2 linked regions of the Drosophila melanogaster genome follow. The protein of the gene in region 2 interacts with the protein of the main gene of each other region in a pairwise test. Each region holds a gene or a part of one and is shown on either strand. Other genes may lie near its edges. The genes, in order: fd96Ca and CG4956.

The links.
Region 1: the proteins of CG4956 (region 2) and fd96Ca interact in a two-hybrid assay, tested with the Drosophila melanogaster proteins (one large-scale study listed by BioGRID).

The regions. Positions count from the first base shown.
Region 1 is NT_033777.3:25,080,945-25,085,582, reverse strand, and holds fd96Ca (forkhead domain 96Ca), read right to left. Parts: upstream 2,900-4,638; 5' UTR 2,032-2,899; coding exon 913-2,031; 3' UTR 705-912; downstream 1-704. UniProt on the Drosophila melanogaster protein: Involved in development during embryogenesis.
Region 2 is NT_033777.3:25,776,598-25,779,971, forward strand, and holds CG4956 (uncharacterized protein), read right to left. Parts: upstream 1,709-3,374; 5' UTR 1,633-1,708; coding exon 724-1,632; 3' UTR 671-723; downstream 1-670. Other genes in the region: CG17195 (uncharacterized protein), read right to left, coding at 1-584.

The sequences.
Region 1 (4,638 bases), 700 kb from region 2:
AAAAAAAAGTTAATAAAAAGTTATAAAAGTTTTAAAGTTAGTAAAAGTTAAGGGACAAGCGGGATAAAAAGCATTTCTCAGAAAAATTTCGTTTTATGTTTCGATTAAAATATAACCAAATCTTAAATGATGTTACTTCCTTTTTAAAAGACAGAAAAATATATAACACTTACTTTTGTAACAAGAAGAACCCCGTTTTTTGAATAAGGACATTGCTAAAAACTTTCTAAAGATTTGGAATATTTCCAAAATATTTATAATCTCAATGGCTTTTGTGAAAAACTACAGATTTAACCAAAGAAGCTTAAGCCTGTTTGAAAAGACACGATTTTCGAAATTTAATAAAAAAAATTGTGATATTCTAGAATTCAATTAAGAACCGCTTTTATAAAATATAAAATCGTTTTAATGTGATTATAATTGAATAAGTCAAACAAACTCGAAGCCATAACTGAAATACTTTTTGGGGCTAAAAATGTATATAGACTGGATTTCATTTATAAAGCTGGGTGAAGATCTTAAAGTTGAAAAAAAAGCTAGATAACTAAACTTTACTTACGTTCACTACATTTCACTGTTTCCGCTCGATTTTTCTAAACACTTCTTTAAGTTGTTTAAATGTTTATATTCTTCACAAAAGGATCGATCTATGCACTAGGTTCGATAAAAATAAAATAAATAATTTACTAATACGGATATGTGATACAAGCTAATAAAATTGTATTTACAAGCCTTTCTACGCCTATGAATGTATACCATATGTTTTGGTCCTATTACAATTAATCTTAATACAAAAGGAACTACGTTTGGATGGATATACATACATAAATATACATATACATATATCGTTCATAAATAATGCTATATAGTACATAGGTGTGTTTCGTTACTACCCTGCTTGTTGCCACTTATCTATATCGTACGCATATCGTTGTCTATTCTATTCTGCACCTCGGGGCTCCGATATTGCTGCGCCGGAGCGACGAGGGTAACATTATTGTAGTATATGTTGTGCATGTTGGCAATGGGCGCCGCCATCATGAAGAGCGGATGCGAGATGGCCAGCTCGTAGGTGGTGGGGCTATTGGGTATTCCCGACGCTGGCAGTCCGGCCACATTGGCACCCGTGGCATAGTGCAGAAACGGCACGTGGGCACCGGCGTTGATCGTGTGCATCGGCGGCAGGGGATCCTCCGTTCGGCTCGATCGGCTGGCGGACATATACTCCTCGGAGGCGGCGGGCGTTGTGGGATAGCGGCTGATACCGCTGCACTCGACCACATCGATATCGACGCGGTCATCCTCGTCGTCCTCGTCCTCCGACGGATGTTCCGGCTTGTCGGGCGTGATCAGGCTCTCTATCGTGAAGGATCGCTTGGGTCGCAGGCTCAGCGGTCCCTCGATCTCGGAACTGGTTAGCGCGGGCAGATTGGTCAGTCCCATGTCCGCCAGATTCGTGTGATCCGCACCGGACATGGAGGCGGGCATTACGTGCGGCAGTGGCACACCTGGACCCAGGGAGTTTGGCATGTGCGCCGTGCTCCTGGGCAGTGGATCCAGTCTCATGGCGGCCGCATTGTTCATATCCAGCGGCGACATGTGCGCTGCACTGCCTCCGTTACGGGTGGTAAAGAAGAATCTATTGAGGTTCGCCAGGGCAGTCAGCTCCTCGTTGAGCAGATCCTTGTCGTTCTTGTGCAGCTTGAAGCGCTTCCTCCGCCGGAGCAGGCTGCCGTTTTCGAACATATCAAAGGCCTGCGGATGCAGTGCCCAGTAGGCTCCCTTGCCGGGTCTATCCGGCCGTCGGGGCACCTTGATGAAGCAATCGTTGAAGCTGAGATTGTGCCTCAGCGAATTTTGCCAGCGCTGGGTGTTCTTGCGGTAGTACGGAAATCGGTCCGTGATAAACTTGTAGATATCGCTGAGCGGCAACATTTTCTCCGGCGAACTCCAGATGGCCATGGCCGTTAGCGAAATGTACGAATAGGGGGGCTTCTGTTCGCCGTAGGATTCTCGCGAGGGCCGGGGCATTATTACACAATGTTTTCGGCTCAATTTGTTCCGCACATCACAGTGTTACATATTTGCAGGCTAACTTGATTTATGAATGCACTCAAGCACTTGCTAATCACTCGTATTATTTTCGTCCGTCAAACGTATGAATATCCTAAACGCATGCGGCGCAATGAGGAGCAATGCCGCGTGCCGTCGCAGGAACATAAGCGGGAGCAGCTAGTGGATTTGCTAGCGAGGAACATCCATTTGGGGCACGGTGGCGATGCGGCATGGCGATGTGTGATATGGACGAGATAGCGACAAGAAGCGACGGCAAACAAGATCGCGCCAACTGTCGGCAATAAACTCTGCGCAAGAACTACGCTCGTTATAAGCTCCGGCGACGACACTGGCTTCGCCACCACCACTACCACTGGAGCAGCTCAGCTCTGCTCTGCCACTGGCACTGGCACTGGCACTCTGGAAGGAAAAGCACTCTCACTGAGGTTTCCCCATCCGACTGTGCGCCCTGCCGCCCTCCAACTGCCGCCCTCCGCCTGCCTGGCAAATTACCATCAAAAGCTGAATGCGAATACGTGAGCGGCGGTGGTGATGGTGGTGGTGGGCTATAAAGCTGGAGCGGACTTGGGGCGAACTTGGGGCGAAGATAGCGATAGAGCGGGAACAAAACAAACGACAACAAACGAAGAACACGGCACACAAAAAATTACTGTTTCAGCAGACTGGCAGACGACGTGCCGGTTATTGTACTAAGTGAGCAATGCCGTCCCCAGTTCTCCAGCTCTGCAGTTCTGCAGTTCTGCAGTCCTCCAGTTTTGCAGTCGTCCAGGTCTGCAGTCCTCCGCGGTCCGTACGTACAACCAACCACAGTGAGCAATGCAATCAAAATATAATCACTCACATCATTGCCCCCGTGCTCTCTCCCAATCACCGCGATGCGAACATGCATCATCCCTCCGCCACGGCGAAACTTCAAAGCGGCGAGGAGAGCCAAAGCAAAGAGTCTGAGATTTACTAAACGAATAAACCAGTCTGACCAGACCGCACTGCGCCGCTCCAGCGGAGAGCTCCTGCCCCTGCACCACCCCTATCCCTGACCCGCCGGTGGTTGCGGCTAGGCGGTACACTGGCCGAAAAACCCATACCCCTATTCGAAGTTTAAACGAGCGAATGAGTTCGACAATCCCTTAGATCTACGAGTGCTGCATCATATATTCTTAATAAAGGTATGAGTCCTGCTATCTAAATACTTATGCTATGAGGCCTATAACATATTGATTGCTATACTGATAAAGGTCAGAACTTTTTAAAGGATTTTCTTTTTTCGAATTATTTATTTATTATTTATACCTTCCTTATATGGGGATCATATAATTCGGACTTCACGTGCAAGGTTCATCTAAAAGATTGGTGGTTAGGCTTTCCCAAATCAGAAATCCATTATAATAATAAATCAAATACAAATCTATTATTGTGCTAGTTAAACTTTTGACTGTTTTATTGCTTAAGTTTATTACTACCAGTACCATAAATAAGATGTTGTAAAAAGTAAGCTTTTTCTGCATGCAACTAGCCGCTGTTTGTAATTGAAGTTATTAACATAGGAATAAATTTTCAAAAGCTTTCTTGCATGCACTTCAATGAAAGCGCACACGATTTCTCGCCGTGTACGAGGGGAGTATCTCGTCGGTTTTATTTAGCTTTGCCTTTGGTATTACCGCTGCCGCTGCCTCAGCGCTGGTGCTGCTCCTGCTGCTGCTGCTGCTGCTCCGGACAAAAGAGCAGCCGCCCCGGCAGCTGGTTCTGGCCATGGCTGGGACTGGGACTGGAAGTGGGTATGGGTATGGGACTGGGACTCTGGCCAGGCCGCGACTGGCTAACGGCCCAATGCGAGAGAGGTGTTGAAAAAGAAAATTACAACCACTTTACCGATTTACTGATTTTACGTTTTCATAATCTTGTTAGTTAATTTGCCTGCTTGCGACTCGGCCATGATTCCACAGAACGTAAAAGCCAAAGCACATTGCCACCGCATTCAGCGAACGTGTGGGTTTGGGCCTGTATTTTGTATTTGGTATTTTGTGTTTTGTATTTAGTGTTTTCTGTGTTTCGGTGTGGGCATCAGTATGGGTATGGGTATGGGCATGGGTATGGGCCATCAGTGGATTATGGAGCTCATGGGGCTGATGGGGCAGCAGCGCGATTTGGCGAGACTCGATTTAACACTAGGATGGATAATTGTCTTTAATAGTGCGCCCGATAGAGCAGCAAATCGCAATCCCGCGGATGGGTGTATTAAATCGCATTAGCTATTAATGAGTCTGCATTCTTCCTGTTCTTCACCAAGTGTAAATTAATGATATCTGACTAACACGAAGGCAAATGAGTAGTTAAGCAGTGGCAAATAGCTGCTCAGTGGTATAATTGAATTTTAATCACATGAACTATTGGCCTGCTTTTTGTTGCCAGTTCTGAGGAATAGCGAAGATGGGCTCAGAAATTAGCATAAAGTACACATAATACTATTATTATAACTATCTTCATTTATTGTTAGATAGAAAGTGTTCCATATATTTGTAATAATTTCAAAAAACCCAGAATAGCACACCCATGCCAATTAAT
Region 2 (3,374 bases):
TTTTGGAAAAAAGTCCTAGTTATTAAATTAAAAATCACAGACGAGAGACTCATGAAGTTACCGCCATTCTGCAGGATAAACATACAAAATGTTGCAAAGCTTGTGACTAAGCCGAGCGTTAAATAAAATGTGAACCAGAAGAAAAAGCGTTGATTATTGTGTCCAATGCAAGTGCCCGTGAATATACAGTGGTGGTCCCGTCTCAAAATGCAGGTGTTGCACAAAACGCAGTGCCAGGATCGTGGCGATCTCAGCTTTTTACACGATTCGCAATAGTGCCACAGGGGCTCATCCTCTGGATTCGGGCATCGGGAGTCCTTGGACAAGGTGTTTACCGATGAGCTAGTCATATAGCAGGCCAGCATGTTACCAAGTATGTTGTGCGTTATGAAGGTGACCAATATCCAGTAGAGCTTGTAAGCAATGTCGCCAAACACTTTGGGCGCAATGTAAAACATCTGCAGTGAGAAGAAGAAAGCTGTGCTGCACAGGACGAAAACTATCGAAAGTGGATGCACTATCCTCACAAAGTTCTTCGGGTAGCGATTGGCAAAGTAATGGCAAAATCTATTCACGTAGCACATTTTTTAGGATTTTGAAAACTTCTGTTGTAAATTATAGACTAAATAGAAACATTTACATCACAGAAGAAGAAACGCCAACCCGACATATTATAATAGAATTTATTCGCTATCTTATATTCAAAGTTTTTACAAACAAAATTTACACTGTCTGCTTCTGGAACCACTGAGTGCCATCGGTAGGAAGAGGACTTGAGATCGTTGGAGAGAAAAAAATCCAGAAGCGCCGTTTTCCCAAGACCATATCAAAATTTCTTCTCCAACCAACATCATAGCTGCGATCGAGCATCTTATAGCATGTACTATTCCGATATACCATTATCATTTGAAAGACGAACATGAAGAGGGGGACGCCAAAAAGAAATAAATTCAGTTTGAAAAGGTTGGCGATTGTGTACTTCCATTTGAAATCAGCATCTTGGGTTGTATCCTGGAACATTAGCAACAAAGGATCGACGACCAAAAAGGCCTTGTTTGTCCAATTCAAAATGCCATTGTAGACGAGCGCCTGTCCGCTGCCAAAGCTCAGGTGAAACAAGAAGGCAAGGAAATACCTCTGATTTTTATGGCCAATGCAACTGGCAAAGAAGGTGCAGTGGTGATCCCGCTTCAGAATGCAAATGTTGCACAAACTACAGTGCCAGGACCTCGGTGGCACCAGCTTTTGGCATGTGGAGCAGTAGTGCCACAGGTGAGCCTCACCTGCCACAGGATACTGTCTTTCCAGAACTAAGCTATCGACTGAGGTATTGGTCATACAGCCGAGCCACCAGTTGCCCAATATATTGATGACTGTATAAATTCCCATAAACCAACACAATTTGTGCCATATACCATGGGGATCAGTTATTTGCGGCAAAACGTAGCATAATTCATAGACAAACAGCAATCCAATCAGACAGAGTAAAAATATTGCACAAAACGGATGAAGTAGGCCCATAACTTTTATGCGATGTAGTTGAAAGTGACGATGAAACCCTTCCTCGGCTCGAAAACACATTCTTCTACTCCAACCGCAAGTAGATCTTAATAAAACTCGAAATCGAAGCATTTATAAATGACAGACGTATTGTTAAATTTATCAAATAAATTATTTTTAATAGACTTTGGGCACCAGAACTGCCTTGATTTGGAAATATGTATCTAACTGACATAATCGCATCACCCACTGAATTGTAAAAATCTGGCATTGTATGTATGTGTACTTTGGTGGGTGGTTTCAAATTCAATTTCTTTTCCTTTTTAAGCGGATTATTGCGAAATTACGTTTTATAATTGCTGGCGTCATTTGTGAAGGCAGAAAATTTTTATTTAAGTGGCGCTTCTAAGTGAATTCTACAATTCAAAAGATTTGGCTTATGGAATGTTTTCACCTAAAAGTTTCTCAAATTTTTACTTCATTTTCAAAGCAGTATAGGCAAAACCTTGCTTATAAAGCAAGCTTATAAGCAGAAAATAAATTGAAATAAAAAAAACAATGGAGGGAAAAAGGGCATCAGCATGGCAAAATATGGTATTTTGCAGCAGCTGTATGTTGTATAAACAAAGAGCAGAATAAAAACAACGAGGAATGCATATCAAATACATGTAGGAAACAGCTGGGTTAAGTCGACTTCATCAGCCCAGCGACCGCAAAATGGCAGCTGTCGGCCAGGTTTAGACCGCAGGAACGAATGTTGTCTATTTCGCATAAATTTTTATGAATTATTAATATGAACTAAGCATTTTGAATGTGGCCTGGTCGGGTGGGAAAGCTGGTGAGGACGCGGTTTTTCATTTTAAGTTCACTGAGGTGTATGGCACACCTATTGAGGTGGTTTTTCTTTTTGCCGTAAAGTAGAGTGGCAGTTTGCTTTTCGTTTGCATAAAATATGTACGATGGGGCGGGGCGGGACTTTCCTCACTTCGTGGCTAAATGTGTTTGCCGTCTTTGGCCTAGACCGGAAGCAAACAAACAGCCATTTTGTGCTGCTATTCGACGCAGCCATTTCCGGCAGCCACTCGGCGCCGTCGATGTGTTTGTCAGTCAACCTGTGGCTTGACTTTCCCCCACTTTCGCTTAGCTCTTTCTTTGACTTTCTGTGGGCACTACGAGTCATTAGCATTTGCTTGGTGTAGGTGGAGGGGCATACAAAAAATGAGAATGGCTTGCGGAGTTGGCAACTGCTTTTGGCCAAGTTCTCGCATAATTGCCGAGTTTTGCTGCTAATTTAAGATGCTTTGCCCCCATGGCAGTCAGCTCGCATTCGGTGTCTTTGTTTGATTTCATTACGAGCGGAGACTCTCAACTACAGACAGCTGTGCCGCAAAGTTTTTCGCAGTTAGGAGTTTGCACATTTTGTCTCCCCTCGTTTTTATTTCCCTGGGAAGGTCGGGAGTATTACTGTGTAATTTGCAAGCAATTACCTGGTAGGGGCAACCCACATAACTTTCCCCCATTAGCCCATATCTGCCAGATCTCACGGCGCGACTTCTTGGAATGTAATTGAGTTTGGAAAATGTGTAAAATTAGATATGTGCGTGTCTCAAGCCAGGAAAGCACCTGCGTGAAAAGCCAGATGAAAGTGTGTCTATCCACATATAATCGACGGGGAAATACCGCGTGGTATGAACAATGTTGAGTATATTTTTTATGACGTTGCAATTAAAATATTGTTTAGCTAAAAAAAATGACTATGATTGTACTGAATAATATACTAGTGCTCCCATTCACTTTATACTCAGAGGAATTAACTTACAGAGGATTCAAAATTTTAGCAGGAACACAAAATCTGAGCAATTTCGAATGTCACA